Linked DNA regions of Macaca mulatta. The protein of the gene in region 3 interacts with the protein of the main gene of each other region in a pairwise test. Links are inferred from orthologs where the notes say so. Each region holds a gene or a part of one and is shown on either strand. Other genes may lie near its edges.

Region 1 (5,624 bases), on a different chromosome or scaffold from region 3:
GCACAGCAGCAGGTACCCCGAGGACCCCGGGCTTAGGACAGGGCAGTGGGAAACAAGACACCCCCTTAGTTCCTTTGCCAGCCATGGAATCTTGTGGTTTAGTGACAAGCAGGGTAAGCCAGAGCTTGTCCTGTGTTGATTGTGTTTAATGATTGCATATGTAAAGGGTTTCAAAATCACAGCATGACTGCTTCAAGAGAACCAAGCTCAGCCAGACATGGTGGCTCGCACCTTTAGTCCCAGCTACTCAGGAGGCTGAGGCCAGAGGATCCCTTGAGCCCAGGAGTTCAAGGCTACAGTGAGCTTCGATCATGCCATTGCACTCTAGCCTGGGTGACAGAGCAAGACCCTTTCTCTAAAAAAAGAACCAAGTTCAGTTCTCTTAGAAAAAAACAGACCTTTGTTCATCTCAGCAGAGATACTTTCAGAAAGATATCTCATTTTTTTCATTGAAAATTATTGTTTCCTTTTTTTTTTTTTTTTTTGAGACAGAGTCTTGCTCTGTCGCCAGGCTGGAGTACAGTGGCACCATCTTAGCTCACTGCAAACTCTGCCTCCCGAGTTCAGACAGTTCTCCTGCCTCAGCCTCCTGAGTAGCTGGGACTACAGGCACACACCGCCACGCCCGGCTAATTTTTTTTTTTTCTATTTTAGTAGAGATGGGGTTTCACCTTGTTGCCCAGGCTGGTCTCGAACTCTTGAACTCAGGCAATTCACCTGCCTCAGCCTCCCAAAGTGCTAGAATTACAGGTGTGAGCTACTGCGCCTGGCCTCTTGGTTGGTTTTGTTATATGTAAAGTTGACTGCTTTTGTGTAGATTAAGGGGTAGGAGGAAAATGAAGTTGATTATGTCTGGTGTTGCCTTTGATATGTAGCTATATTAATAAAAGGAAGTTAGTGATAATGTGGGGATTTGATGAGCATATACCCATTGAAACTATTGATTCTTAAATATTGTGTTTTATGTATACATGTAGTTTATATGTTCTTTTGTTCTTTACATTAGTATGTCTGCTTAACCAGTTGTTTACTTAAATTGCTATTAAACACAGGAAAATTTTTTTCTGTAGAAAGTGAGGAGAATGCAACACAACTAAAAGTAAATATTTGTCAGTCAGAAGTTGTCCTTGAGGTAACTTATTGCCACAGGGCGTCCTTTAGTTTGTCCTTGAAGAGGGAGGAGAGACTGTGTGCATAGTTCCCCACATCCAGAGATTTGCCAGACTCTCTTGTATTTAAGCTGTGGCAGTCTGTTGTGGATTGAGACCTTGATCTTGGCAATGGGCTTCCTCCTCCCAAACATCCCCACGTCTCAGTGGTCATCTGCACGTGTGCTTTCAGCCATTGTCTGCTCCATTATTGGACGTCAGCCAACCAGAGTAAATCTCTCTTGGTGGTTTCAAGCCCCGCTGACTGTTCACAAGTTGGATCAGCAGGAGATATCAGTAGCTTGACAATCCAGCCTTTTGAGCAGTGTGTTCTCAGAGGCAACGGTCTGGTCCTTTGATTTCTGGGCTTTGCTTCTGAATGTGAATTGTCCCAAGTTGGCAAAGAAACTAGCAGCTGCTAGATTGCTGGGCTTGGAACCAGGTAAGATGGATTTTAATTGCTTATTTCCCATTTCTCTGGCACCAGTTGATCGTGGAACAGCAGGATGAGCAGTTGGAGCTGGTCTCTGGCAGCATCGGGGTGCTGAAGAACATGTCCCAGCGCATCGGAGGGGAGCTGGAGGAACAGGCAGTGTGAGTATTGAGACACCCCTCTCGCTGCAGTGAAATTCAGGGGCAAAGCCATCCTACGAGACCCCTAAAAAGCCTGGCAGCTACGTGGCTGGTAAGATCAAAAGCTGTTTTATTCGTAGCTGCATTTTTATTCTGTTTTGCAGACTAGCCTCCCCAAAAGAAGCAAATCTGCTCTGTAAATTTTACTACAGGCTTTAGGCAAAGTTGTTGTTATTTTTAAACACCTCCAAAAACAGACACAGATTTCTCTGAGCAGATACTCGAAGTACAGTTATGAATGGGAATGTGAAGCAGAGAAGCCTCTGTAACCTGTGGGGATTTTTGAGCTGACTTTATCATCCTATGACTCTCCCGCTACATTGAGCAAACACTCTGCTTTGCATCTTAAATTATTGTAACTTTGGTTTTTGTTGTTGTTGTTGTTTTTAAAACTTACAGATTTAACACCAGTTAACAAAAACTCTTTCCTCTCAAAAAAATAAAAACAAAACATAACCTCAGTTTGTTTTTCCTTATGAACAGTCCCTTTTGCGCTCAGAAGTTTGATGGCAAAAACTGCATTCTTAAATGCTGCCACAGGATACCTTTATCATTTTACAAGTCTTTTTAAAGAGAAAAATAATAAAACAGTCCGCTAGGATATTTCAGAAACTCTCCTGTCTTGATATTACGTTTATCATGACACATTGATTCATTATAAATTCTTAATGGGCCCCTGTTCTACACCAGGCCTTCTGGAAGCCAAGGGATGTAGAAGGGAACAGAGCAGACAAGACAGCCCATCTCTGCCAAAGAGTTTGCCACTTGCTGGGTAGAACAGACATTGTGTGAGTGGTGAGGGGTCATTAGATGATGGCAGTGACGTGGGAGGGCCCCTGTGATGGGGACAGTGCATGCTGCCTGGAGAGCCCTGACTTAGCCCAAGGTTTCTGAGGAAGAGGGGTTTAACTGAAGTCTGAAGGATGTGTGGATGTTAGCCAGGCGAGGTGAGCGTTGGTGTGGAGGCAGGTGGTGTGGGGAGCGTAGACAAGGAGGAAGAAAGTGCGCCTGTGAAGATGGAGAGGTGCACACATGCATGGAACAGGGAGGTTCCATGTGTCTGGAGGCAGAGAACAAACCAGGGAAGGTCTTGTCAGCATGGTCAGGAGGTACCACTACTTATTCTGAGCATGATGAGAGACCAGTGGAGGTGAGGTTAGGAGTGATGGTGTGATCAGGTGTGATTTAGATGATGTGCTGCAGTGGAGCCAGGTAGGGAGACCAGGCAGGAAGCTGGAGTAGCCAGAATCTGTTTCATGTCTATCTAAAATGGGTCCTGACCCTAAAGTTCAGTTTGAGGAGGGGAAGGGACTAATGGCCTGAGCTTCTCTGTTGATGAAGCAGCCTGGCGGGGCAGTGGGTAATAGAGTCTGCGGGACTTCCGGTTAAAGATGGTGAATTGACACACCCCTACCTCCACTCCCTATCCACAGCTCACTAGAAAAGTAGTAAAGGGGTTTGTTTTAAGGGCATGGTGGTTCACACCTGTAGTCCCAAGTACTAGGGAAGGAGGCTGAGGTGGGAGAATTGCTTGAGCCCAGGTGTTTGAGGCTGCAGTGAGCTATGATGGCACCTCCAGGTTGTACTCCAACCTGGGTGATAGAGGAGACCCTGTCTCTAAAAAGGTAGAAATAACAGATAACTGGGAAAAAGCGTGGGATTTGGACTTAGACCTGTGCTATCTAGTATAATAGCTACTAGCCACATGTGGCTAGCTGTTAAGTAAGTTTTATGTGGCCAGTCTGAATTGAGATGTGCTCCAGAGATAAAATGCTTACTGGATTTTGAAGACTTAGTATGGAAAAATATAAAATAGCTTATTAATAATTTTTATATTACATGTTGAAATGATAGTATTTTGACTGTATTAGGCTAAATACAACAGAATTAATTTCACCTGTTTCTTTTGAAATTTTTAAAAATGTGGCTACTAGAAAATGTAAAATGGCATATGTGATTCATATTTTTGTTGGATGGTACTGAGATAGATTTGGGCCAGCAGCTTGGTTGGTGAGTGTCCATGGACTGAAGGTGGGGTGATGTGCCTGTTTTGTCTTCAGTATGAAAAGTCACACCCAGCGCAGAAAGGTAGTTCTTGCTTTTCAGAGTTTGACCCTGTCTGGATAGGCCTGCCAACTGCAGCACCAAGATGCTGCCAGGATCTAAAATGAGCTAAATATGTTTTAATTTGAAAATTTAGGTAAGGGACAAAGACTTGTTTTAGTTGTCAATATGGAGTTCATGTAATAGTTGATTTAATAAAGAGTTGGTTGCCCTGAATCCTGCAAGACTGTCAGATGTCTAGTTGGGCACAGATCAAGACCAGCAGTTTCTAACTGCCATTGATGCTGTCAGAGTTAATATAGCCTTTTTAGTAAGACTGTTAGTACTAATTGGTATATTACATTCTAGCCTCAGAATAATCATTTACTAATCAAAAGTTGCAAAGTCTGGAATATTTAGTGACTTATGAAATAGGCACTGCTGAAATCGTATTTTGGGGTTTTCTTTCCCAGCTGCGCATTGGACAGCAAATAGTGTAAGCCTGCTGGAGTCAGTTTTCCTACTGGGAAATACTGGTTTCTCTGTGAGGACAGATGGGGAGATGTGCATGTGCGTGCACACACACACACTCACACACCCCATCAGGGATGTTAGTGCCGTGGTCTTCTGGGTTTATAATAAAGCACATAGTGCTTTACAGGAGATTATTTTATCAAAGTACATTCCTTAACTCATATTGACATAAAGTGCTTTTGTGTATTACCTGCTTCTCACAAGAGTCGTGTGAGGGAAGTTGGGCTGATAGGATTGCCCTGTTTTACAGGTGAGGAAACAGTCCCAAAGAGCTGTAGGGTACGTTGTCCAAGGTAGCGGTGTAAACAAGTGGCAAAGCCTGGCTGTCTGCCTCAGATAGCATTGTTTCTACCACATTGCGCTGCCACTGAGTTTGTGTTATTGTATAGACAGGTCCACACTGCCTTGTCTGCAGTTCTGAAATCTAGAAAGCTCTAAAATCTCCTTTCGTTTTTTTTTTTTTTCTCTTTAAATTTACAGCAAGCTCATGTTACAGAAGAACCTCACCTGAACTGACTCCAACTCTGACTCCTCATAGTTTTTTCTGCAGAAATATTAAGTATCTGATTACGGGGACTGCCCCAGACCCTCCTGGCGGTATTGACTAATGCAAAGCATATGTAATTTAGGCTTTTTTTAAATCCCGAGAATTCCAAAATCAAAATCCTATCTTGTCCCAAGGATTTTGGATAATAGAGTGAGGTCCTGAAACCCACCGTTGCCTATTTTGTTTGCTAAAATGGAGGCCTAGTCCTGTTAACCCAGCGCACGTGCACTGCCAAGGCTTCGTGCTTACCAGCGACCTTCTGTGTCTGCTTCTCTCTAGTATGTTGGAAGATTTCTCTCACGAATTGGAGAGCACTCAGTCCCGGCTGGACAATGTGATGAAGAAACTTGCAAAAGTATCTCATATGACCAGTGGTATGTATGGTGTTTAAAGCTTAAGTATTTGTACTTAATTCTAGAACTCTGTCTTGGGGGCGTTGTCTCATAGTTATGCCCATCCAGATCCCTTTCTTATTTTTTTACAGATCCCTTTCTCTTTTTTTTTTTTTTTGAGACAGAGTCTCACTCTTTCACCCAGGCTGGAGTGCAGTGGTGCCATCTCAGCTCACTGCAACCTCCACCGCCTCCTGGGTTCAAGCAATTCTGATGCCTTGACCTCCCGAGTAGCTAGGATTACAGTTGCATGCCACCATGCCCAGCTAATTTTTGTATTTTTAGTAGAGACGGGGTTTCACCGTGTTGGCTAGGCTAGTCTCGAAC
Region 2 (6,062 bases), on a different chromosome or scaffold from region 3:
TCGCCATGTTGGCCAGGCTGGTCTCCAACTCCTGGCCTCAGGTGATCTGCCTGCCTCTGCCTCCCAAAGTGCTGGGATTGCAGGCATAGGCCACCGCACCCTGCTAGAGCTGGGTTTTAACAGGAAGAGAAGAGCCAAAAATCCTCACATAGAATCAGACAGCACTTGACAGTTTCCAACCTCATCATCACTGAAGTTTAGAGCAGCCCATACCCATAAAGATGATCTCCCCATCCCCCCAAGTTACCCACTGTGCAGAGGGAGATCGACACTTAAGAGACAGGAAGCAACTTCCAGAAGTCCATAGCAACCCAGTCCCAGGAATCTAGGTTTCCTGACCAGGGCATAGCAGAAAGGGTCCATTCCTTTCCTTGCTTGTACCTTCACAGAAGCTTCCTGGACAGAGCCCTGGGGTCCAGGAGACCCGTTATTCATTCCCAGCTATGCTGAGACTTACTAAATGACCTTGGGGACTCCTTCTAGAGAATTTAAGTTCCACGAGTGCAGGAATTTTTATCTATTAGTCCTTGATGTATCTCCAGCCCTAGAACAGTGTTTGGCCCATAGTATGTGCCCAAAAATATCCATTAAATGAATGTTCTGTGCATGGTGGTGCATGCCTGTAATCCCAGCAGTTTGGGAGGCTGAGGCAGGAGGATTGCTTGAGCCCAGGAGTTAGAGACCAGCTTGGACAACATAGTGAGACCCCATCTTGTAAAAATTTTTAAAAATAAAAAATGAGTGAATATCTCGATAGCCAGGATTAGAGAAGTGTCACAGTCAGAAAGACTGAAGCCTAAAGAAGGCCAAGGAACCAGGGTCTTCATCCTCAGATACATGAAAGGCTAAGATTCTGTCCACAAGTATTTATAGAGGGCCCGTAATGTGCTTGGTACTGAGCTAGGAACTCCCCAGATTCAGTTAAGAACAAAGTCATTACCTGCCTCAGATGCAAGGCAGGGTCTGGGGGGTGTGAGTGGCAGGGAAGGCAGCGTGCAGAGACACTTTTCTTAGCCTGAGCTGCCCTGACATGGTCTGACAGCCCACAAGGTGGTGAGTGAAGCCGGGCTGTAGTGTTCAAGGAGGGCGCCGGCTGGCTGCCCACCTGTCAGAGGCTGCGCCAGGAGGATGCGGAAGAAGAGGTTTCTGCCTTGGCTGAGGTCAATTTCCACCCCTAGATTCCCTGCCCACACAACCCTGCAATTTTCTGACGCTGACGACTCGGATCCTATTATTTCCCGATTTTCAAGGTCCCATGATGCTGACAGCCCCAAATGCTAAGTCGTCAGTCCGCCCACGCCCCTGGACCCGAAAGCAATAAAGGCGAAGTCAGCAAGGGTCCTACCACCCACTGCCTCGAAAGGCCTCTGGGAGTGGTGGGCGCGCCCCTCCCCACCTCGCGGGGGCCGTGTGGGCGTCGTTCGGTGGTCGGAGTGCCGGGGACGTCGTGATGAAAACAGCGTCCCAGAGACGGCGCTGACCGAGCCGGGACACGTGACAGTCACAGCGTCACATTCTGCGGTCCACGAGTTTGGGACCGGGTTGGTCACGTGACGCGGTGGGGGCACCATGGGGTGATGTGAGATGCGGGTGCCTCAGATTACGTACAAATGACGTATTCCTACCCCTTTTGGCAACCAGATTTCCGTTGGAAGATGCAACGGTTCCGGTGACGGTAGCCAGTTCTCGCGTCCACGCAGCTCCGCTTCCGCTCGGGGCGCAACAACTTCCGACTCCACCTTCCGCGCCTCGGGCGAGGAAGAGACGCGACCATATGCGCATGCCCCGAATTTATCACGGAGGGGCGGGGCTGAGGCTGCGGGAGCTGGAGGGGGGAAGAAAAGGGAATTCCAACCTGTGGAACCTTGGGGGGTCCCCGGGGTCGGCGCCTTCCCATTGACTGTGGGCGGTGCAAGGGACGGAGGCTCTGGTGGCTCGTGGGGGTGTTGGGGTCCACAGGGGGAGGGAGGGGAGTGTCAGAGTGTGAGTGGGGTACGGGTATTCCAAGTTTGCCGGCCTCCCGGTCTGACGCCGGGGAGGGAGAGCTCAGGCCGCCATGCGGGACAGGACCCACGAGCTGAGGCAGGTGAGACGCCAGGGCAGCGGGGATGGGGGCGCGCGGACGAACTGGAACGCAGGACTCCTGGTCTTCGGGGTAGGGAGGGGTGGCTGATGGCCAGGAAGGAAAGTCCCGGAAGCCTGTGGGTCCTGCGGGGTGACAGCCGCAGCGAAACAGTGGTGCCAATGACTCCGGGCCTGGCAGGGGGATGACAGCTCGGACGAAGAGGACAAGGAGCGAGTCGCGCTGGTGGTGCACCCGGGCACGGCACGGCTGGGGAGCCCGGACGAGGAGTTCTTCCAGAAGGTAAGGGGATGGAGTCTTGGCCTGGATTCGCGAGGGGGTAGGAGGACCCGAGGAGCAGCGTGGTCTGGAGTACCCCATATCTCTTTCAGCCCTCTCGGTCACCCTCCCCAGGTCCGGACAATTCGGCAGACTATTGTCAAGCTGGGGAATAAAGTCCAGGAGTTGGAGAAACAGCAGGTCACCATCCTGGCCACGCCCCTTCCTGAGGAGAGTGAGTGAAACCCCGGCTGCATAGCGCATGCTCCGCCCCAGGGATTGTGGGGGTTGTAGTTCCACGCAGGTGGTGGCCAGGGTGGTTTGTTGAGGTGGGGGCTGCTGTTTGGGAGTCGTGGCCTTCTCTTATTCAGGCATGAAGCAGGAGCTGCAGAACCTGCGCGACGAGATCAAACAGCTGGGGAGGGAGATCCGCCTGCAGCTGAAGGGTGAGCTACTGGGACCTCAGGCAGATCCTTCCCTCTGATCCTGCCCTGTTGTTGGTATATCTGGGGAGTGTGTGGCCCAGAGAAGCCAGTGATATATCCAGGTCACACAGCAGGCCTGGTTCTAGCATCTCTGTCTTCTGGCCTCCAGGCCATTGTACTCTCCACAGCACAAGGCAGTCTCTCAGGTTCTTTTATTTACAATGAAACCATTTACTTACACAGTTATCACTGCCCACTGGGCATTCTTTGGGCAGGGAGATGGGGTTTTGTTAGGTGGCCTCTGCATTCCTACGGGAACTCAAGTGATGTAATGCAAAGAAAAATAAACTTACTTTCTCCTCTTGGAGGCTCAGCCTTAGTCATTTTATGATAAATTATATTTCCCTAAAAATCCTATGGAGACAAGTACCCCCAATACCCCTGTGTCTTCCCACAGCCATAGAGCCCCAGAAGGAGGAAGCTGATGAGAACTATAACTCCATCAACACAAGAATGAGAAAAACCCAGGTGGGTTTTTTTTCTCAGAAATGACATTTCAGCAAATGTTTCATGAAGTATTAGATGACAGATGTATGAAGGAAGGGCCTGTAGATGTCATGGAGTCCAATTGGATGATTTTTCCAAGTGGGGAACCTGAGCTCAGAGAGAGAAAGAACTTGCTCAAGGTCAGGAAACCAGGTCTCCTGATGCTCAGTCCGGTTATAACACCCTGCTTTATTTTCTTCCATTCAATAAGAAGTTACTTATTGACCCCAGACAAGACCTAGGCTTGACTGTGGGACACGTTTTCTTTTCTTTTTGCCTCAGCCTCCTGAATAGCTGGGATTACAGGCGGACACCACCATGCCGAGTTAATTTTTGTATTTTTAGTAGAGACGGGGTTTCCCCATGTTGGCCAGGCTGGTCTCGAACTCCTGACCTCAGGTGACCCTCCTGCCTTGGCCTCCCAAAGTGCTGGAATTACAGGCGTGAGCCACTGCGCCCAGCTGGGACACGTGTTTTCTAGGAGTCAACATGAGGAGTTAGGGTTCAATAGGGGATAAAGACATTACTCACGTGGGATCTGGTGGCTAATGGCGCTGCCCAGGGAAGGAGAGTGAGAAGTCACAAATTGACTGGCAGGTTTGCTATCTGTGTGACAGGGACATCCTTAGTCCCACAGGTGGAATTCAAGAAGTCAGGAAGTGGAACTTCCCTGGGGCGACACTGAAGAGGAACTCCCCTGGTGTAATATCTTTTTTTTAAAAATTATTATTATTTTTTTGAGATGGAGTCTCTCTCTGTCGCCCAGGCTGGAGTACAGTGGCACAGTCTTGGCTGACTGCAACCTCCACCTCCTTCAAGCGATAATCCTCCCTCAGCCTCACAAGTAGCTGGGATTACAGGTGTACACCACCACACCTGGCTAGTTTTTTATATTTTTGGTAGAAATGAGGTTTCACCATGTTGGCCAGGCTGGTCTTGAACTCCTGACCTCAAGTCCTCAAGTGATCCACCTGCTTTGGCCTCCCAAAGTGCTATGATTACAGGCATGAGCCACCGTGCACGGCCCCTGGGGTGATATCTTAGTAAGGAGATTTGCAGTGATCTGACTGGCCCTCTTTGTGTCCCCAGTGAGGAGGATACCAAGAGGTCAGGGTTGGAGTAGTTGAGCCCAGGGCTCAGCAAAGACCCCAGATTGAAGATGAAACAGCTTGGGCATCTTGGAAGGGTGCAGCTGGAACCAGGAGAGCAGATGTATCTCTGGAAAAGGAACTCCAAGGAATGAGCATATTTAAGGTCTCAGGAGAAGGGGCAAGGCAGAGCAGATGCCCCAGAGCCAGTGTTTCTGGGGAAGCCTCTGGTGGTGATTGGCATGAGTGGTCGAGGGCCCATGTGGGCCTGTTGCACCTGTTTCGCCCAGGCAGCATGTTCATCTCTAGGCATAGGAACTGTGGTGTAGGCAGCAAGGTTGGCATTCAGCAAGCATTCAGCAGTTACATATTGGGTGCCTACTGTGTGCCAGACCTTTTTGGAACTGTTTAGGGTACAGCAGTGAATCAATGATCCCTATCCTCATGGAACTTCCCTTCTGGTGTAGACAATCACCATAATAAATAAGTGAATTATTTAGAACATAATAAGCATTAAGGAAAAAAGAGCAGCGGAAGAGGGACTGAGCATGCTGGAGGAGGGTAGCGTTGCAGTTGAAAGCAAGTGGAGGAAGCTTCATTCAGAAGGTGACATCTGAACAAAAGACTTAAAGGTGTTTGCGGGGAATGGGCATTCTAGGTAGAATGAGAAGTGAATGCAAAGGTTTAAGCTGAGAGTGTGCTTTGTCTAGGGAGGGCTGTAAGGAGACCAATGTGGATGGGCAGAGGGAGGGAACAGTAAGAGGAAGCAAGATCAGAGAGGGCTGGCCGTGCACCTTGGCTCACACCTGTGATCCCAGCACTTTGGAGGCTGAGGTGGGAGGATTGGTTGAGCCCAGGCGTTTGAGACCAGCCTGGGCAACATTGCGAGACCCCATCTCTCTCTGTTTTTTTTTTTTTGAGACAAGGTCTCACTCTGTCACCCAGGCTGGAGTGCAGTGGTGCCATCTCTGCTCACTGCAGCCTCCGCCTCCTGAGTTCAAGCCATTCTCCTGCTTCAGCCTCCCAAGTAGCTGGGACTACAGGCACCCACCACTGCACCCAGTTAATTTTTGTATTTTTAGTAGAGATGGGGTTTCACCATGTTGGCCAGGCTGGTCTTGAACTCCGACCTCAGGTGATCTGCCTACCTCAGCCTCCCAAAGTGCTGAGATTACAAGCATGAGCCACCGTGCGGGTCAACCCTGTCTCTATTAAAAATAAAAATAGGCCAGGTGCAGTGGCTCACACTTGTAATCCCAGCACTTTGGGAGGCTGAGGTGGGTGGATCACCTGAGGTCAAGAGATTGAGACCATCCTGGCCAACATGGTGAAACCCCATCTCTACTAAAAATATAAAAATTAACCATGCATGGTGATGTTCATCTGTAGTCCCAGCTACTTGGGAGGCTGAGGCAAGAGAATCGCTTGAACCCAGGAGGCCAAGGTTGTGGTGAACCAAGATTGCGCCACTGCACTCCAGCCTGGGCAATAAGAACGAAACTCTGTCTCAAAAAATAAATAATAAATAAATAAAAATAAAAAAGATCATGGAGGGCCACATAGACTTGCTAAGGGCTTTGGCTTTTTGTCTAAGAGAAATGGGGGAGCCTGTCAAGGTCATCACAAAGTGGTTAAGGTGGCAGACCCCGCATAAGAGCTCAT
Region 3 (5,370 bases):
AACCAATTAAACATGACAGAGTTCAAACACATAAGCCAAAATATTCCACCAGCTAAGAGAACAATCAAGTCCCCTGAGAAACAAGTTGGGGTTCTTGCCCACTTGGGCATACAGTACATACCTGTACCACATTTACCCCACCTAACCCATCATGTGCAATAAACAGGAAAATTACATACATTCATTCTCAAGCTTGACTTAGATAATCTATCCAGCCCTGACCAAGATTTCTATAGCCATAGCACAGAACACACCACCTCAATGTGGGAAAGTGTATAAACATGAAAATAACGAGCAGGCTGTGCCAATTAAAATACTTTAATGCAAATATAAAGGGATTTCCACTCCAACTAGAAGTGAAAACTATCTCCAGAAAAAGAGAAAAATTCCATTTCTAATAGATCTTGTGGTGTGTGTGTGTGTGTGTGTGTGTGTGTGTGTGTGTCTAAGTACAAATCAAATTCACTTTGACACTCATCCATACATGAAGCAAGTACTTCCAGAAAGCTCCTTTCCTCACAATGTGATGCCTACAGACCCTGGCTATTCTAAATTTTTGCCATGCACATGTTAGCACACGGAACAACACAAAAAGCAAAGAAACTAGTCACTAGCACCATCAAAATAATCACAGGATAACAAAAATAGAAGTGATTTCTAATAAAGTTATAAACTCATTCCTAGTAACTGTCCTAAACTAAACACACATTTAAAGAACATATCCAGATGCCAAAGCACAGAGAAAATGCAAAGCATCTATGAGAACAACTGGGCTGAGTACTCAAGTCTAACAAAAAGGACATAAAAACACATGGCAACATTAAACATAGGCTCCACAAATACCAATGAAATATGAGGAATGAGATTCTGAAGTACTTCTCAGAAAACGCTGGGGGTTCTGATAAGCATGAAACAACCCATCATTACCACAAGATGAACAGGAGCCTCCCCTTCATCCATTTCACAGCAACACAGACTCGGGGAGCTTAAACAATACCCAGGCTGTCTGGCTCATATGCAACAAAATTAAGCCATTAAATGGGCATCCCATAAAGATCACTTGACCCTAAGACAAAACTAAACAGGAGTTAGCTGCATGCCACAAAGACAAAAACATTTCATTTTAGGTCTCCATCTCCTTCTCCATCCCCTTGGATGGACTTTTTGATGCGAAGTAACATGGTGGTCAGCCACTGATCCAAACGAGATATTGAGTCAAATTCCTTCACCTAGTATAAAGAAAGAGGAGCAGGAATTACCCCATGTAAATACGTTAAAAACACAAAATAATAGTACCCCAAGCTGTTTATACATTTACAGCTATAATCTACTAACTTTCTTTGTTATTTGAAATTAATAATTCCGGTTTATAACTTTCTTCACTAAAAAACTGTTTATTGTTTCATTATCCTGTTACTATTTTGATGATACTAGTGACTAGTTCCTGGGCTTGACATTTCTCTGTTTTCAAACATGTGTAAAAAGAAAATTCATTAACAGTCATAATTATTGTGGCAAAAGAAACTGGACATTGCATAAAAATGTGAAAGTAATATGGAAAATTACTCACTGAACATGGGAAAACATTAATTGCAGAGTTAGAATATGTATGGAAGCGGAATTCCTTTAACACATTTCAATGCATTATCAAAGAAAAAAATTACAATAGGATGAAAATGATGTGGCAGGCAAAAGTTCAACAGGAAAACATTCCTTTCCACCATCACTCCTGAGTTGTGATGAACATGTTACAGGAGGCTACTGAGAAATTTGCTTGAGGTTGGGTGTGATCCTTCAACTTTGGGAGGCCAAGGCATGTGGATAGCTTACGCCCAGGAGTTAAGAGACCAGCCTAGGCAACATGGTGAAAACTTGTCTCAAACACACACACACACACACACACACAAATTAGGTGGGTGTGGTGGTGTGTACCTATAGTCCCAGCTACTCAGGAGTCTGAGGTGGGAGGATCACCTGAACTCAGGAGGTTGAGGCTGCAGTGAGCCATGATCACATCACTGCACTCCAGCCTGAGTGACAGAGTGAGGCTCTGTTTCAAAATATATTAAAAAAATTTTTTTTTGCTTAATTCTAAACATGACATGGCAAAAGATGGAAAAACAAAAATTATAAAGGAAAAAACCCTCATTTTAAAAATATATATTTTTTTATTTTTTACTTATTTATTTATTTTTGAGATGGAGTTTCACTCTTGTTGCCCAGGTTGGAATGCAACGGCGTGATCTTGACTCACCGCAACCTCTGCCCACTAGGTTCTGAGGCTCCTGCCTCAGCCTCCTAAGTAGCTGGGATTACAGGCACACTCCACCATGCCTAGCTAATTTTTGTATTTTTAATAGAGATGGAGTTTCACCATGTTGGCCAGGCTGGTCTCAAACTCCTGAGCTCAGGTGATCCACCCGCCTCGGCCTCCCAAAGTGCTAGGATTATAGACGTGAGCCACCATGCCTGGCCACCTTCCATTTTTTTCATGCCACGAATACAGCAAATTCTCACTACTTAGTTTTAATATTTTAAATTATATTTAATGTAAATTTTTTTTTTTTTTTTTTTTTTTTTTTTTTTTTTTTTGAGACAGAGTCTCACTCTGTCACCAGGCTGGAGTGCAGTGGCGCAATCTCAGCTCACTGCAACCTCCGCCTCCCAGGTTCAAGTGATTCTTCTGCCTCAGCCTCCTGAGTAGCTGGGACTACAGGCATGTGCCAGCACGCCCGGCTAATTTTTGTATTTTTGGCAGAGATGGGGTTTCACCATGCTGGCCAGGATGGTCTCGATTTCCTGACTCATGATCTGCCTGCCTTGGCATCCCAAAGTGCTAGGATTACAGGTCTGAGATGCTGTGCCTGGCCTTAACTAATTTTACTTTACACTTATTTATGGGTCAGATTATTTTCAAAAGAAAAAATTAAAAGAGCAAATTATAAGAATATAAATGGAATATTTGCTCCTGAACTAGTCTTACAGCTAAATTACTTTTGAATATAAGTCAAATCTCAGCATGGCTAATAGAACTGTTTAATTTGTGTGATATATAAAAGATGACCTTTGGAAAATACAACTCAAGGTATGCTGGAGTCATGTTCAAATAAATGTTTAGATTTTACATAATGAAAAGGAAAAGAAGTTTAACTTAAATCTTCAAATAATGTAACATGTCCCAAAAGCATAACTTACTGCTTCAGTGTAAGCTTCACTGTTTTGTTCTTCATGAGCTTCTAGGAGTTTCTGGTAGCACAAAAATATTTTAAAAAATAGTTCCGTAAGATGAAGTCCCATTTCTAAATATATACTTTAAGTATAACACCAATGTTGCCAAATATTGCACACAATTGCGGAAATACTCAAATACAAGTCAAGATTCAAGTTAGGGATCTAGTTTTTGTACTAACATTTCTGAGGTGCCTATTTCAGAATACAACTACATGTTTCTGACCTTAATTGCATTTGAACACCTATAATGCTAAAGCAGGAAAGTACCAGGGCCCCTCAGTTAGCAGACTTTATAGATTAAAACTTCACTTCATACCCAACCCCACTTAGGTGTTGTCACCTGACAGAACAAAAGCATTTTTCTTCAAAGTTCTAGTATTACTTACTTTCAATAATTTACATTCTCTTGAATCAGTAAACGCTGGAAACATTTCCTCATATTTCTCAAGAGCAAGCTGAGAGAGAAAAACCACTCATCAATTTCAGACTTACTAAACAAAGCTTTCGACATTTTACCAGCTTCAAATAAGATCTACCTATATCCTATTAAGTGTTGAAGAAGTATGCAGTTAAACTCAACAGCAGAATCAACATAGACAATCTGTCTATTCTGAATTTTCCATTTCAATTAAGAATAATTTCTAAACCATTTTTTTCTGAGTCATGCTGCTGCCGAGAAGACAGTGTAAATGAAAATGAATTCGTAAACACTCACAGACCAGGTATCTGTGCCATCCATTAAATGGAGAAGCTCTTAATACAGTACAGATTCCAAATAAATTACATTTAGCTTCCTGCTCAAAGCTGACAGAAAGAACATTCTCTTAGTGGCTTTAATTCTGCTCTTTCCACTCCAGACACCGGCCACGTCAAGGCTGCCTGCCTTTTTGCCTCTTGGCTCCCAGTGCTCACTGTGCTTTCCAATTGCTTCCCAGTCCTCACTCCAACACCGTTTCTGAGCTTGCCTGTTTTTTTGGTTGTTTTTTAAATGGATATTATCCTACTCTTATCGTCTCCTCCTCCCCCTTAGTTCCTTATTTCTTTTTTTTTTTTTTAGACAGAGTCTTACTCTGTCACCTAGGCTAGAGTGCAGAGGCGCGATCTCAGCTCACTGCAACCTCTGCCTCCCAGGTTCAAGTGATTCTCCTGCCTCAGCCTCTCAAGTAGCTCTTAGAGACACCTGCCACCACACCTGGCTAATTATTTTTGTATTTTTAGTAGAAACAGGGTTTCACCATGTTGGCCAGACTGGTCTCGAACTCCTGACCTCAGGTGATCCACCCCACTTGGCCTCCCAAAATGCAGGGTTTACAGACGTGAGTCACCACGCCCGGCCCTGTAATTTCTTTAAAGCAAAACTACTAAAAAACAAAAACAAAAACAAAACTGTGGCTACCAGTGAATATAGACATATATTTAAGCCTATAGCACTAAGTATTCCCAGGCAGTGCCCCCCATTCAAGTACCAGGCTCTACACTGCTTAGCTTCCGAGATCAGACGAGATTGGGTGTGTTCAGGGTGGTATGGCTATAAACTATCAGGGAACTTTTGAGAACAGCTTTGACAGCTGTTAAAAGATTACAACTGGGACACATACCACAGAAAAATACCTATTATTTTTAATGTACCCAGTTTATTCTTGGTACTAACATCGCAATGAAACGACTCCAAGAACAAGAGAGAATGTGTACGTGTTCTTAAGGATGAAATCAGTCAATCAGTGCTGAAGGACTCCTTACCTTGGCATTCAACTCGTCTACTATGAAGTGGCAGAGGGCAGCTTTGAAGAAGTAATCCTTTGCACTGTACTTCAACAAAGGATTATCCATGGTGTTTGCCCCAACCTAGGCACAGAACGCAGAACTAAATTTAAAAGGTTTACCCTTTTATATCAGGCAAAGTCATCCTCATCTGTTGTCCTTTAGAAAATAATTATTGATCTTATGTTAGTTTAGCTATGAAATACATTATTTTAACCCAATACCATATAGTAGAAATTTTACTAGACAAGACCGTTAAACACATGAAGTCTTAACCAGTTAAAAATAGCTTAGAAGAATTCTGCTTCCAGTAAGATGGAGTAAACATCCTTTCCCCTAATCCTCCCACAAAGCACTACTAAAAGCCCAGGTCATTTT
Region 4 (6,284 bases), on a different chromosome or scaffold from region 3:
ACCATCCTGGCGAACATGGTGAAACCCTGTCTCTACTAAAAATACAAAAACTAGCTGGGTGTGGTGGCGCACGCCTGTAGTCCCAGCTAATCGGGAGGCTGAGGCAGGAGAATCGCTTGAACGCGGAGGCGGAGGCTGAAGTGAACCCAGATCATGTCACTGCACTCCAGCCTGGCAACAAAACGAGACTCCGTCTCAAAAACAAATGAACAAACAAACAAAAAAATACTTACTCAGGTGCTTGTAACCCCAGCACTTTGGGAGGCTGAGGCGGGCAGATCACTTGAGGTCGAGAATTTGAGACTAGCCTAACCAACATGGAGAAACCCCGTCTCTACTAAAAATACAAAATTAGCCGGGCATGGTGTCACATGTTTGTAATCCCAGCTACTTGGGAGGCTGAGGCAGGAGAAACACTTGAACCCAGGAGGCGGAGGTTGCAGTGAGCTGAGATCACGCCATTGCACTTCAGCCTGGGCGACAAGAGTGAAACTCCCATCTCAAAAATAATTAATTGGCCGGGCGCGGTGGCTCAAGCCTGTAATCCCAGCACTTTGGGAGGCCGAGACGGGCGGATCACGAGGTCAGGAGATCAAGACCATCCTGGCTAACACGGTGAAACCCCGTCTCTACTAAAAAATACAAAAAAACTAGCCGAGCGAGCTGGCAGGCGCCTGTAGTCCCAGCTACTCGGGAGGCTGAGGCAGGAGAATGGTGTAAACTCGGGCGGCGGAGCTTGCAGTGAGCTGAGATCCGGCCACTGCACTCCAGCTTGGGCGACAGAGCGAGACTCCGTCTCAAAAAAAAAAAAAAAAATTAATTAATTAAATAAATAAATAATTAGAAAGCACTCCCAATTTTTTTTTTTTAAGAGGAGCTGAGTGCAGTGGCTGACACCTGTAATCCCAGCACTTTGAGAAGATGAAGAAGGTGGATCACTTGAGCACAGAAGTTCGAGACCAGTCTGGGCAACATGGTAAAACCCCGTCTCTACTAACAAAACAAAAATTAGGCAGACATGGTAGCACATGCCTACAATCTCAGCTACTGAGAAGCTGGAGGCAGGAGGGCTGCTTGAGCCCAGGAGGGCAGATGTTGCAGTGAGCCGAGATAGAACCACTGCACTCCAGCTTTGGTGACAGAGTGAGACCCTGTTTCCAAAAAAGGAGAGAGAGGCTGGGCGCAGTGGCTTATGCCTGTAATCCCAGCACTTTGGGAGGCTGAGGAAGGCAGATCACCTGAGGTCAAGAGTTCAAGATCGGCCCCACCAACATGGTGAAACCCCATCTCTACTAAAAAAAAAATACAAAAATTAGCCGGGCACGGTGACGGGCACCTGTAATCCCAGCTACTCCAGAAGCTGAGGCAGGAGAATCGCTTGAACCCGGGAAGAGACGGTTGCAGTGAGCTGAGATTGCACCACTGCACTCCAGTCTAGGCGACAAGAGTGAAATTCCTTCTTAAAATAAAAAAAAAAAAAAAGAGAAAGAGACTGGGCCTCGCTCAGCCTTCTAAGTAGGTGGGACTACAGGCACATGCTACCACGTCCAGCTTTTTTTTTCTTTTCTTGTAGAGACAGGGTCTTTCTTCATTGCCCCTGCTGGTCTCTAACTCCTGGCCTCAAGCGATCCTGTGGCCTAGGCCTCCCAAAGTGCTGGAATTACAGGTACGAGCCACCACATCCAACCCTAAGTTATTTTGATACAAATTACTGGTCTAGGGCCAGGTGTTTGTGTCCAGACCAACCTGGGCAACATAGTGAGACACTGCCTGTACGAAAAAAATTTTAAAATTAGCTGGGTGGTGCATCCATGTAGTCCCAGCTGCTCAGGTGGCTGTGGAAAGAGGATCCCTTGAGTCTAAGAGTTCAAGACTGCAGTGAGCTATCATCACGCCACTACACTCCAGCCTGTTGACAGAGTTGAAAACAGATCTCAAAACAAAACAAAAACAACAAATTACTGATCTAGAAAATGTCCTTAATGTTACAGAGATAAAAACTAAGATGTAACTAGATTAATTTTCTCATGGTTACAGAGCAAATTTATGGTAGAAATATATTGGAAAATTCAAGGTGCGTGTTTCTCAGCTAAAGGCTCTTCCTAGAACTTGTTCCTTATTCACACCAATTATATTACAGCCAAGTACTCTCTGAAGTACTCCCTCCAGAATAGCACTCCTGCCCTCCAAGGGATTCCTCCTAAAAAAAGGTCTAAGTCCTTGCCTCTAGTTAGCCAGCCGACCTCTTCTCTGTTGCTTACAGCAGACCCTACTGGCCCCATCCAAGCCTATCAGTTCCATCAGGTACCCCCAAGAATTACTTCAGTTAACAGTGGTGGAGCACAGTCCTTCCTAGATTTGAGTATGGCTCACTCCTCGCCTTTTCCACTCCAGGTCCTTACCTGACGGGTCTGCAGCGACTTGCAGGCAGACAGAAACTCCTGGGTCCGATCCCGGCAGGACATGGTGTCGGGAGGGGGAGGGACGAGGGCCACTGGGGGGGGCAGAGGGGCGATGTCGCTGCTGCTACTGCCAGCAGGTGCAGGGGACAGGACCTGTGTCTTTGAGAGACCCAGGTAGACACCCTGATCCGTGTTCTTAGACCCGTAGCGTTTCCGCGGGATCATTGAGACGCATAACCTCGGACTGTTGTGGAGGGGAGAGTGTCATTCCCCAGGCAGCTTCTTTCCCCAAACTCCCCCGCCCCACCCCAATCAACAAATCCTCGAGCCCCTTCCGCACTTCTCATGGACTTTCGCGCCCAAGACGCTCGCAGATCCTGGGGCGGGCCAGCAGCGGAAAGGGCTCTGCTTTTCCCCTGTCCCAAGTCGAACCCGCTTCAGACTCTTCTTCCAACTTGGCTCCGGCGGCCAGAGCGCGGGCCGGGGGCCCTGAAGCAGAGACAGGGCCAGAGCCAAGTCCCGTGGCCCTCAGACTGCGGCCTGGCCCGTGTAACTGCCCCGGGCCCTAACCCAGTCCCTTCGTTTCCGTGGTTTCCTTCGGCCCCTCGGGGGGGGGCCGGTGACGGACCTCCAAAGACTGACACACTTCGGTGGGCGGAGGGGGAAACCTCTGGGTGTTTATTTGAAACAGGAAGTCCCACCCCCCGCCCAAGGTCCGCCTTCTGGAAGACTTCAACCACTCATTAGCTAATGCCGACGTCTCTCTCAACAGAGGCTTTCCTGATTGGACGGCAAGGAATTCGCTCACCAGGAGCCGGGCCGGCAGGACTTGCCTGCTTGCCCCTGGTTCCCTTCCCCCTGCCAGTCGTCGCCCCTGTAAAACCACTGCCCCAGAGCTGACACGGTGGCCAGACCCCCTCTTAGAGCAAGTCTTACCTCCCCTCTGCTGCCTGTCGCCGCCGCCACTACCAATCTCCCCGGCCGTCACTGCCTCCTCCCTGGGCACTGAGGCCGCCGAAACCCGACCAGACTGGAAGCGGCCACGTCACCTACACGTAACCCCACCCCCGGTGACGAGGGGGCGGTCCCACGCATTTTCAAGCCAGGCGACCCGAAAGACACGCCCCACATCCAAACGCAAGAGCGACCCCCCTCCCATTGGCTAAGGCGCTGCCGTGACCCCGCCCCTGAGTACTACAGCGGGAGCCCAGGGGGCTGGGCCCGCCTCCGGGGAGGAGCCTTAAAGAACCAGCTGCCCGGCGGTGTCCGCGCCCGTTTCCCAGAGTGGTGGTGCAGGTACACGTTAGAAATTTTATTCTCTGGAGGTTGGGGCGGACTAAGAGCAGGTCTGGGGTCATCCCTTCTCCGGCTCCTCCTGGTTGCCTTCTCGGATCGGACGCTCCTGTTTCCGAGTCTGATCTGATTGCCTCTTGCTTGACGGCAAGGAGTCCCGACCACTGAACATTGATGACCTAATCTGGTCTGATTGTCTCTTGCTTGACCGCGAGGAGCCCCGACGACTGAACATGGATAGTCGCCGCCACAGCACGGTGATCAGAAGGCTTTCGTTCGACTTATGATTCCGATGGTCCGGGGAGTTCAAGTCGATACCTTCGGCGCCTGAGGCGACGAGGCCTCTGAGCTCACCCCTACCCTCGGGAAGCCCCTTCTCACACTCCCTGGGCCCTCTGTGTGTGCCTCTGGTCCCATCTTCCCTGACGGCCTCAGACTCTGCCTCCTTGGACTGCTCATCCGACATCTCAAAGTCCTTGTCTTGGCAGCAGCCCATGGCCCCGCGGGGCCCCGGACTCCCTGCCACCCACGCCAGCCTACCTGCCTCCAGGCCCGGCTTTTGTGACATCAGATATCCCGTCGCCCCAGCTCAGGGAGCCCCCACCCCAAGCTACCCCTCATTCCTTTCTCCCATCACAAAAGGCTCAGGGTCATGGTGGATGTTCAGCTGTTTATTTACAAAGTGGGCAGGCACAGGGGCGTCAGGGGCGTCAGGGGCTGGTGGACCCAGGCCGCTTCTTCTTTCTCCGTCTGGTTTGGAGAGCTCCTTGGGTCTGCTCCAAATCCGAGAGCTTCCGCTTGGCAGCTGCCTCCAAGGATGCCCAAAGTTCGTCTGTCTCTGTGTCTTCTAGGGGCACCTTGTTGGGTTCTTGAGGCTCTTGGGGCTCATCCTGGTGAGTGGGAAGAAAGTGTAGGAGTCAGGGGGACTGGGCATGGTAGCTCCCACCTGTAATCTCAGCACTTTGGGAGACCAAGGCAGGAGGATTGCTTGAGCCCAGGACTTAGCGACCAGACTGGGCAACATAGGAGACCCCATCTCCACAAAAAGAAGTTAAAAAAAAAAGAAAAAGTAGTCAGGGGCACAGGGACAAACCCACAGGGAAGGAGACCCTGGCTGAGAAATAATCCCTCTGGGTATCACCACCTTTATTCCCTGCTCCCAGAAAGCAACCCCATCCATGCTCTTGGCAATAACCCTCAGGATTTTAACTGTTAATGCCTCTCAGAGAAATTAAGTGACCAGGCAGGTAAACAGATAGTCCCAGGTCTGCATTCCAGCTGCCTCCTTTTCCTCTTCATAGGGAGATCCTCACATCTATGCCCTTAGCTCCCACATTCCCAGACCCAACTGCTCACCTCCCAGTTGTCCCTGCCTGACAGGAGGAGGCAGTTCAATTGAGACTTGAGATAAACCTGCAAAAGATGAAGGACCTTAAGGAGCTAGGCATGCTGAGACAGAAACATGAAAGGGGACAAAGGAGGCGGAGCCTCCACAAGACCATGAGTTTGGGGTGGGAGAGACGACTTACCTTATGCTCCAGACCCCGTGGATTCTGGATCCTGTGTATCCTCAAGACTCTGTCCAAGCCACAGGAAGCTAGTAGAGGCTTTGAAGGGTGGCACTGCAACCCACGGACACTGCCTGCCAGCCCCTTCAGACAGCCCAGTAGACGCCCTAGAGAAGGGGGGAAGCATCCGTGATAACTGGCTGGCCAATAACCAACCATTCATTGTTTCCTGTTCCAATCACTTTCCATTTCAACATTTAATCTGCAACAAAACCCTGAGACTGGAGCTTCTACTAATATTTCCATTTCGCAGGTGAGGAAATTACGGCACAGGGAGTTGAAATAGTTTAAGGTCATACAGCTTTTGAGGAAACCAGGATTTGAACCCAGGCAATCTGGCACCTGAATGAGGCCTCACTGGCCCCACTGCACCGCCTTAGAGGGAATCCTTACCCTTCTCCCTGCTCCTTCCTTTCCCCCCAACATACCCTAGTCCACTCACCTTGCCGAAGGTCAATTTCTGCCAGCTGCCCATGAGTGTTTCCCACAATCACTGAGCTGAGGATGAGACCAGAGGCAAGCGGAGTCAGCAGGAACCTCCTGGAGCCCTTCCCAAGCCCCACCCTCCCACCCGTTCCCCTCTAAACACTCACTTGCCTCCCGGAGTGAGGGTCATGGCTGTCAGTGGGTACTCTCCATAGGTGGTCTCTAGGACTGGCCGGCGCTGGGGGGATGCTGGATCATAGACACGAACCTAGAGGAAGGCTGAAGCATCACGAAAGTATCCTCACCCTGCACCTACCCTCTGGCATCTCTGCATCCTCACCCGCTCCCTGCACACTGCTCTCTTATTTATGATCCACTGTCAGAAACTTTCTCATCTTAGATGTATGCCTCTTCTCTGAGCATCAGGGTGTCAGAAGAGCTGCTTAGCAGCATAAATGGACAGAGCTGAGGGGAGAGGTCCCCTAGGTTGGAAGTGTGTGAGCATTCCATCCTCCCATACTCCCATCTAGGGGAAATGGAGGGATGGAAAAGCAAGTCAGTCTAGTAGTCAGTGGGTGCTAAATTTCAAGCAGAG
Region 5 (6,240 bases), about 51 Mb from region 3:
AGGTTTAGTTTCTTCCTTTCAAATTGCCTGAGTGTTAGATATATATTTACAAATTGTCTCTTTTTAACTGTTCTACTTTACTATAACGAATATACTTATTTTAAGTTTCTATTTAAAAATTTTCAAACATGTAGAAAAGCCTACAAAATTACGTAAAATGTCCCCCACATACTCATCACTAGACTCAACAATGAGTAACAATTTGCCTTATTTGCTTCCTCTGTTTTTGGAGGGGTTTAAGGATTTAGGTAAGACACCTTGACATTTCACCACTAAACATTTTAGTAGGCATCTCTAGTAAAATTAGCAAATGTAGTGTATTATAATTAATTTAATTAATTCTTTAATGTCACCTAATACCTAGTCCATATTCAAAATTTGACAGATATGGTATTGTTTGGTTTGCTACATGGCTTTGAAATTTACAAATCAGAAACAAGGCTTTAAATTTTTTATGAGCTAGATATGCAGTGAAAAGCATTGCTAAGAGTTACTCAATACAGTTTTTACAAATTGTGTTAGACGTGGCTTTTGCTTCAAAACGTTTATAAAGCTTTTCCAACTTCCAGATAAGCTGAAAAAAATCATAACCTCTATGTGGTCTTGTTAGCATTTCGCCGTATTGTGTGCAGAAATAGATTTTGTAAGATCACCTGTAAGCAAAGTGAAGACGTAACACTTCAACCCTAAATACTTCAGAAATTTATGACATGCCATTTTTTTAAACACAACTAAAATATATAAATCTGTGTTTTCTTTTAAAATTTTAATTCAGGAAAACTATGTTTGTTAGAATGCAAAACCTATTTTTTAAACAGTATGAATTGACTATAAGGATATTTTAAATGATATGGCTGCTTTCAATGATCTGAGAAAGATTTTAAATGGTCAGACTAATACAAATATTAACATTTTCAATGGCATGACATTTAGAAAACACTTTTTAATGTTCTGACTTAGAAATATATTTTTAGTTGGGTTTAGAAATCATTTTCAAAAAACTGTGAGTTAGGTAAATATATCTGTATATATCCTGACGTATCTATTTTTCCAAACTGTATACTTTAGCTATCCATTTTTAGTTCTTTTGCTTAGCTTAAATATTTTTTTTAAATTGCCTAACTTAGAAAATAATTTTCTAAAGTGGTTTGATTCAGAGAAGGACTTTTAAAAAGCTTCCTGTCTCAGATACTAAGTTTTTAAACCATCTGACTAAATGGGGGAAAAAAAAAACCCTCATGTTACCCAAAGGTTCAGGGTATTTTGAACCTTAATGATTAAAAATTGAAAAATAAACAATATGTTTTTCAATCAATTAAAACTGATACCTTAGAAATCTTAATATCAGTTTCAGTTGTTTTTGAGGCAGCACAAAAATCAAGTCATTTAAGGAACATGTAGTTCTTATTTAACATTACTGAAGTACCATTAAGGAATTGTATTCATCCAATTGCTACTCAATTTCTTGGCTTATTTTTTTCTTCAAAATTAGCGCTAGAATTAGCCCGTTTCTATGCTACCAGACATCTTTATATTTATTTCAATATAATGTCATTCCTTTCAGTTTATAAATGTAAAACCCTTCAACTTCTTAACTGAAATCTCACACACACTCTGTCCCTGTTTCTAGGCTTTTTGACCTGAGTTTACATGCTTTTATTCCTGAAACCGCTCATATGGCTTAAAATCACTTTTCTATCAGTTATATGGCCAAAGACATTCTCCACTTGTGACTTACAAAAAGGAGAAACTGTCTTTGTAGACATGATAATCATGACATATGGCAAAATTTTTCTGAAACATTTAGATAAAGTCACAAAGAAAAAAATGAACTGGCAATACAGTCCCTAGGAGGTGAAATAAATGCGGGGTTTCCAAAATTGCCTATCAAGTATAATCCCCAAGAATGTGGTCCTGGGATGGCTATAACCCGCCTGTTCCAACGCTGCTTCTATTCCAACCTAGCCTCCCTACAGCAGGTAGCCTGAACTACAGCCAATTTCATAACTTCACTTTTCAATTGAAGACATTACCGAGCTAACGATCACTGTCTGGTATAGATCATCTAGACTCGCCCCTTATTTAACAGAGCAGTAAACTGAGGCTCAGAAAGGGAAAAGTAGCCCCCATTAAAAACAAACCAGAAACAGTAATTTTTCCAGGACCACCCTTAAAAAACACTACTGCTAGGCTAACTAAAGGTTCTGGCTAATTTAAAAAAAAAAAAAAAAATGTTATTTTAGAGGGTTAATTTTCACATATACCTCCTCAGGCTTTTTTAAAAAGTTCGAATGGAGAGGAAAGCGTAATTTCCCGTCTGGGAAATGGAAAGTGAAGAGGCTAGCACCTCGAGTCTTAGAAACCCAAGCCCCCAGGAAGAACAGTGAAACAATTATTCATAGGGAACAAGGCCACACAAGGGCTGCGGGACCGTTAAAACGGGCAGAAAAACAAAACAAAACAAAACAACAACACAACTGCTTCCTCTTTAGGAGAGGGAGTCGTTCATTTGCAAGGATTTGGGTCCATGGTCCCGCGACCCAGCCATTAGGACCGAACTGAGGCTCACTATTGGGGGGAGGGGAGCTTCAAACAAAACGAAACAAAAAGGCTTCAGAAAGGCCCAATGCTTCCCAATGTTAGCGTTAAAACATATGTAAATTACAGGCGGCCTGTAGCGCAGTGACGCCAAGGCGGGGGATGCGCGGGGGGGGTGCTGCGGAAGTGAGGAGAAGACAAGGCAGAGGTGGAGCTGCGGCCTCACAGCACCGCTTTTTCCCCATCCAGGGTTACAGATGCCCCCTGATTCTAGCCAAGAGATCTTATTATCCTTAGTCTTATTATTCTTATCTTCTTTTATTAAACAGAGAGACAGACAGAGACAGACAAACAGGCAGAGCCGCAGTGCACACGGTCCGTGTGTCGGAGAGGCCGCCGGGAGACTCACCGCAGCAATGCTACGTGAATGCAGAGGGCTGGAGGTGGTGTGACTACTCACTTGCTCGGCTAACAGCTGCCGGTTTTGGATGGAATTATTCCGCAACAACAAGAAAGCGTCGGTTAAACGCCTGGTGGCCATGTCTCACCCTTTGTGACCCCCCTCTCAGGGGCCCCCCGCCCACTTATATTCCTGGTTTATTCACTTTCTTTCTCTTGACCCGGCCGGCCCACCCTTTCACAGAAGCTTCTCGACAAGGCCTCAGGCTTCAAGCCAAAAAGACGCAGCTGTGCCCTTCGCCAAAGCGTAGAGACCCCTCCCCAAATAACTACCTAGGCTTTCCAATTGTCTGACTCCCCCTACCCAGGACCGACTTCGATCTCTAAGCACTTGAATCCCCCCAATCCTTGCGTAGCGATCCAACGTTCCAGAGACCCCACCCCAATCCAACCTTGGATCTACAAGCGTCTAACTCGCCAATCCAGCTCTGGACTGGGAGGCCCTGAAGCCCCCTACTCCCTGAGACCCCCAAAGGTCTTTGCTCTCTACCCCTAACTTGGCTCGTAAGCGTCTAGGCCGTGCCCTGAGGTCTGGCTGTGACTCAGTTTCCCCACCAGAGGCCTGGCCTAGGCCCTCTTTGGACAACCGGAGCCAGGCCTGAGGCCTGGACTCCAGGGCGCCTGCAGCTCCCTTCTGGGGCCTTGTCTGAGCCTGCTGAGGCCCTGCCCGACCTCCTGACCCCTTCCTTTCCTGGGTGGCCTGGTCCTCCACTGCCAGCAGGCTGCTGGCCTGCAGGAGGACAGCAGGGCCTGCCTCCCCGGCCTTCTCACTCCTCTTCTCCGGCTCCCTCCATCCCCGGATCTGACTGCAGCTCAGCCCCGGGCCGTTTCCGTACTGTGGTCCCGGGTTCTGGCGTCCCCCCTGGCCCTCTTCCTGTCCGTCCCTCGCGAGTGCCCCCCTGCGACTCTCGCAAGCCTTGCTTGCAACGTTCCGGGCGCGGGAGCTCCCTGCACTCCTGCCCCGGGGCACGAGAGTGCTCCGCCCTCTCCCGGGGTGCTCCTGGGGCGCCCCGTTTCGCCTTCCCCAACTGGGTCTAGGCACTAGGAGCAGGCCAGCGAGCAGGCCCGAGCCTGGGGAGCGTGACCCCCAGGCTGCAAACCGCTGCCAGGGCCCTTGGTCCCTGCATTAGAGTGGAAGTTGCGCGGCAGGCAAATTTGGGCTCCCCGAGAGCCGAAGTTTTGGGCGCGGGGAGTTGGAGCGGGAGAGGAAAAGTTGGAGACGACTGCCTCTGCAGGCCGAGCACGCTCTACTGCAGGCGCTGGCGCTCGCTTTTTTTTTTTTTTTTTTTTTTTTTTTTTTTTTCCCACTCTGAAAAAAGATGTACCCGACAAACAACCAGGAGGAAAAAAAAGGAAAAAAAAAAAAAAAAAAAAAAAAGCGAAAGCTCCAGGCAGTCTGGCCGCGCAGCCGCCGGCAGTCGGGGGTCGTTGGGGGCGCCCGCCCTCCCCAGCTGCCGCTTTCTGTAGGTGGCACTACAGGGTCGTGGAATCTCAAGTGGAAAAGTTCCCCGAAAACTTTGACACCTCCTGCCCCCGTCCCCGCGAAAAATATCTCTGTTCCCCGCCTGGGCCCTGGCCCGGAGCACCCCGCGCCCCTGGCGTCCCGGGCCCGGTTTCTCGCCGTTGGCCAGGCCCGGGGCGCCCTAAGCACCCCGGCTTGCCGTCCCGGGCCAAGTCGGCGGGGTTCGTGCAGGGGCTCCTCGGGGCCGCGTCGGGCAGCAGCTGCCCGGGCCCGAGCACGGCGCCCAGAAACAGGCGGGCGCCCAGTGACGGAGGCTCTGGTCTGGCCCGGAGCCGCCCGGGAAGCCTGAGGCCAAGGGCCTGGCCCAGCGCTCGGCGGGAGCGGGTCGAGGGCGCAGAGCTGTGCTGCTGCGCCTTCCGGGCCCCCGGTCTGTCTAGGGCCGGCTTCCCCTTGCCGGGCGAGGGTGCGGGCCGGACTCCGGAGTGGGGTTCCAACAAAACACCTAGGCCCCAGAAGCGGCCCCCACGCGTCCTTTGTTTCTGCGTGGAACAAACTTTACACACGTGTGTTTTCCGAGGGTTTCCCGTGTGCTGAGCGCTTGCAAAGCGGAGTCGCGCCCGGGGAGACGCGAAGCCGGTGCCCGCGGCTCACCCAGGGACCCCGGCCGGACAGCGGCACCCGCGGGGCGCGTGCGGGACCCCCAGACGACCGGGGAAAACGCCGGTAACCGCCCCCCGCCGTGCTTTTTCTCTCACGGAGAACGTTCCCGCGCGTTCGTTGTGGAACTAAAAATTAATGTCAAACATATCCATTGAGGCAAATAACAAAATGCATACAACGAAACCCACATAAAATCGAGAGAGCCGCGAGCGGGGCTGGGCGAGTTCACTGTGAGAACCCGCCAGCTTCCGCTCTGCGCGGAGAGCAGGGCACTCGCCCGGGGACGCTTCGCTGCGGTGGAAGATTCGGGCGACAGGGGACCGGGTCGCCTCGCGGGCCGGGTTGGGGGCTGCAGGGGCGCGCTGACAGGCCATCCAAAGACAGAGGCCCTGGGGAGGGAAATTCGGGGAGCCTGTGTGCTTAGCGCGGTGCCCCAGGAAATATTTGCCCAATAAGGGAGAGTTCTGTCCTCACCCGCGGCAGATCCCCCCGCGAGCTCTGACCCCAGCAGCACGGCCAAGCCTCCCCCCTCGCCCCTTTAGGGGACAGTTATTTGTAAATAACAACTGAGCTGGTTGTCGGTAGGAGAATCAGATTAGAAACATGGTCCCCACTCTGTTCCTATCTCCCCAGCACTCATCACCTCGCAAAGCAGGGGGTCTTGTTTACTTTTCCTGGCGTTCTCCCCCAGGCTAGAACGTGATCTTCCTACGCAGGGACTGTGTTTTATTCATCTTTGTACCCACTGCCGTCTCATCTGGCTCGGAACAGGCTCCGGATAAATATTTTTTAAATATGTGCATGAATGAATGAGAGACCTGAGATTTAGTCCCCAAACTCTCTGACCTCCCTCGAGTGGCTTTAAGCCTTTAGAGCCCTTATCTGTTAAGAAAGAAAGAAAAAAATGTGGGTTTTTCGTAATCCTCGTAATCCGTGCCCTGTCTACTTCTCTGGGGTTATTGTGAAGATCAAATAAGATAAGTGAAAACTCTTTGTAAACTACCAGGTGCTGAGCAAATATTGTATAGGATGGTTATTCATTCATTCCCTCCGTTCAGGAAGCTTAACAGAATAATTCCTGGTCTTGTGTTTAAGCAGATGGTGGTCGCCTTTCCTGGTCA

Evidence for each region.
Region 1: the proteins of NAPB (region 3) and STX6 interact in binary tests that used the Homo sapiens proteins (3 or more experiments, as listed by UniProt). The two-hybrid records come from large-scale screens. The link is inferred for Macaca mulatta from reciprocal best matches to the Homo sapiens genes NAPB and STX6.
Region 2: the proteins of NAPB (region 3) and STX4 interact in binary tests that used the Homo sapiens proteins (3 or more experiments, as listed by UniProt). The two-hybrid records come from large-scale screens. The link is inferred for Macaca mulatta from reciprocal best matches to the Homo sapiens genes NAPB and STX4.
Region 4: the proteins of NAPB (region 3) and STX5 interact in binary tests that used the Homo sapiens proteins (3 or more experiments, as listed by UniProt). The two-hybrid records come from large-scale screens. The link is inferred for Macaca mulatta from reciprocal best matches to the Homo sapiens genes NAPB and STX5.
Region 5: the proteins of NAPB (region 3) and STX16 interact in binary tests that used the Homo sapiens proteins (3 or more experiments, as listed by UniProt). The two-hybrid records come from large-scale screens. The link is inferred for Macaca mulatta from reciprocal best matches to the Homo sapiens genes NAPB and STX16.

The regions. Positions count from the first base shown.
Region 1 is NC_133406.1:38,395,758-38,401,381, reverse strand, and holds part of STX6 (syntaxin-6), read left to right. Parts: coding exon 1-12; intron 13-1,635; coding exon 1,636-1,742; intron 1,743-5,184; coding exon 5,185-5,279; intron 5,280-5,624. UniProt on the Homo sapiens protein: SNARE promoting movement of transport vesicles to target membranes. Targets endosomes to the trans-Golgi network, and may therefore function in retrograde trafficking.
Region 2 is NC_133425.1:29,670,052-29,676,113, forward strand, and holds the start of STX4 (syntaxin-4), read left to right. Parts: upstream 1-1,787; 5' UTR 1,788-2,056; coding exon 2,057-2,086; intron 2,087-2,263; coding exon 2,264-2,365; intron 2,366-2,454; coding exon of another isoform or gene 2,455-2,476; coding exon 2,477-2,576; intron 2,577-2,712; coding exon 2,713-2,787; intron 2,788-3,223; coding exon 3,224-3,294; intron 3,295-6,062. Other genes in the region: uncharacterized protein LOC144337996, read right to left, coding at 1,397-1,516, 1,626-1,782. UniProt on the Homo sapiens protein: Plasma membrane t-SNARE that mediates docking of transport vesicles. Necessary for the translocation of SLC2A4 from intracellular vesicles to the plasma membrane.
Region 3 is NC_133415.1:60,651,598-60,656,967, reverse strand, and holds part of NAPB (beta-soluble NSF attachment protein), read right to left. Parts: intron 5,077-5,370; coding exon 4,972-5,076; intron 3,687-4,971; coding exon 3,618-3,686; intron 3,247-3,617; coding exon 3,196-3,246; intron 1,230-3,195; coding exon 1,119-1,229; 3' UTR 1-1,118. UniProt on the Homo sapiens protein: Required for vesicular transport between the endoplasmic reticulum and the Golgi apparatus.
Region 4 is NC_133419.1:11,221,549-11,227,832, reverse strand, and holds the start of STX5 (syntaxin-5), read right to left. Parts: upstream 3,472-6,284; 5' UTR 3,339-3,471; intron 2,892-3,338; exon of another isoform or gene 2,743-2,891; intron 2,647-2,742; 5' UTR 2,628-2,646; coding exon 2,403-2,627; intron 1,910-2,402; exon of another isoform or gene 1,810-1,909; coding exon of another isoform or gene 1,747-1,809; intron 1-1,746. Other genes in the region: TEX54 (testis-expressed protein 54), read right to left, coding at 3,757-4,263; WDR74 (WD repeat-containing protein 74), read right to left, coding at 4,406-4,585, 5,052-5,108, 5,225-5,370, 5,706-5,761, 5,857-5,957. UniProt on the Homo sapiens protein: Mediates endoplasmic reticulum to Golgi transport.
Region 5 is NC_133415.1:111,441,986-111,448,225, reverse strand, and holds the start of STX16 (syntaxin-16), read right to left. Parts: upstream 3,817-6,240; 5' UTR 3,080-3,816; coding exon 2,999-3,079; coding exon of another isoform or gene 2,936-2,998; exon of another isoform or gene 2,868-2,935; intron 1-2,867. UniProt on the Homo sapiens protein: SNARE involved in vesicular transport from the late endosomes to the trans-Golgi network.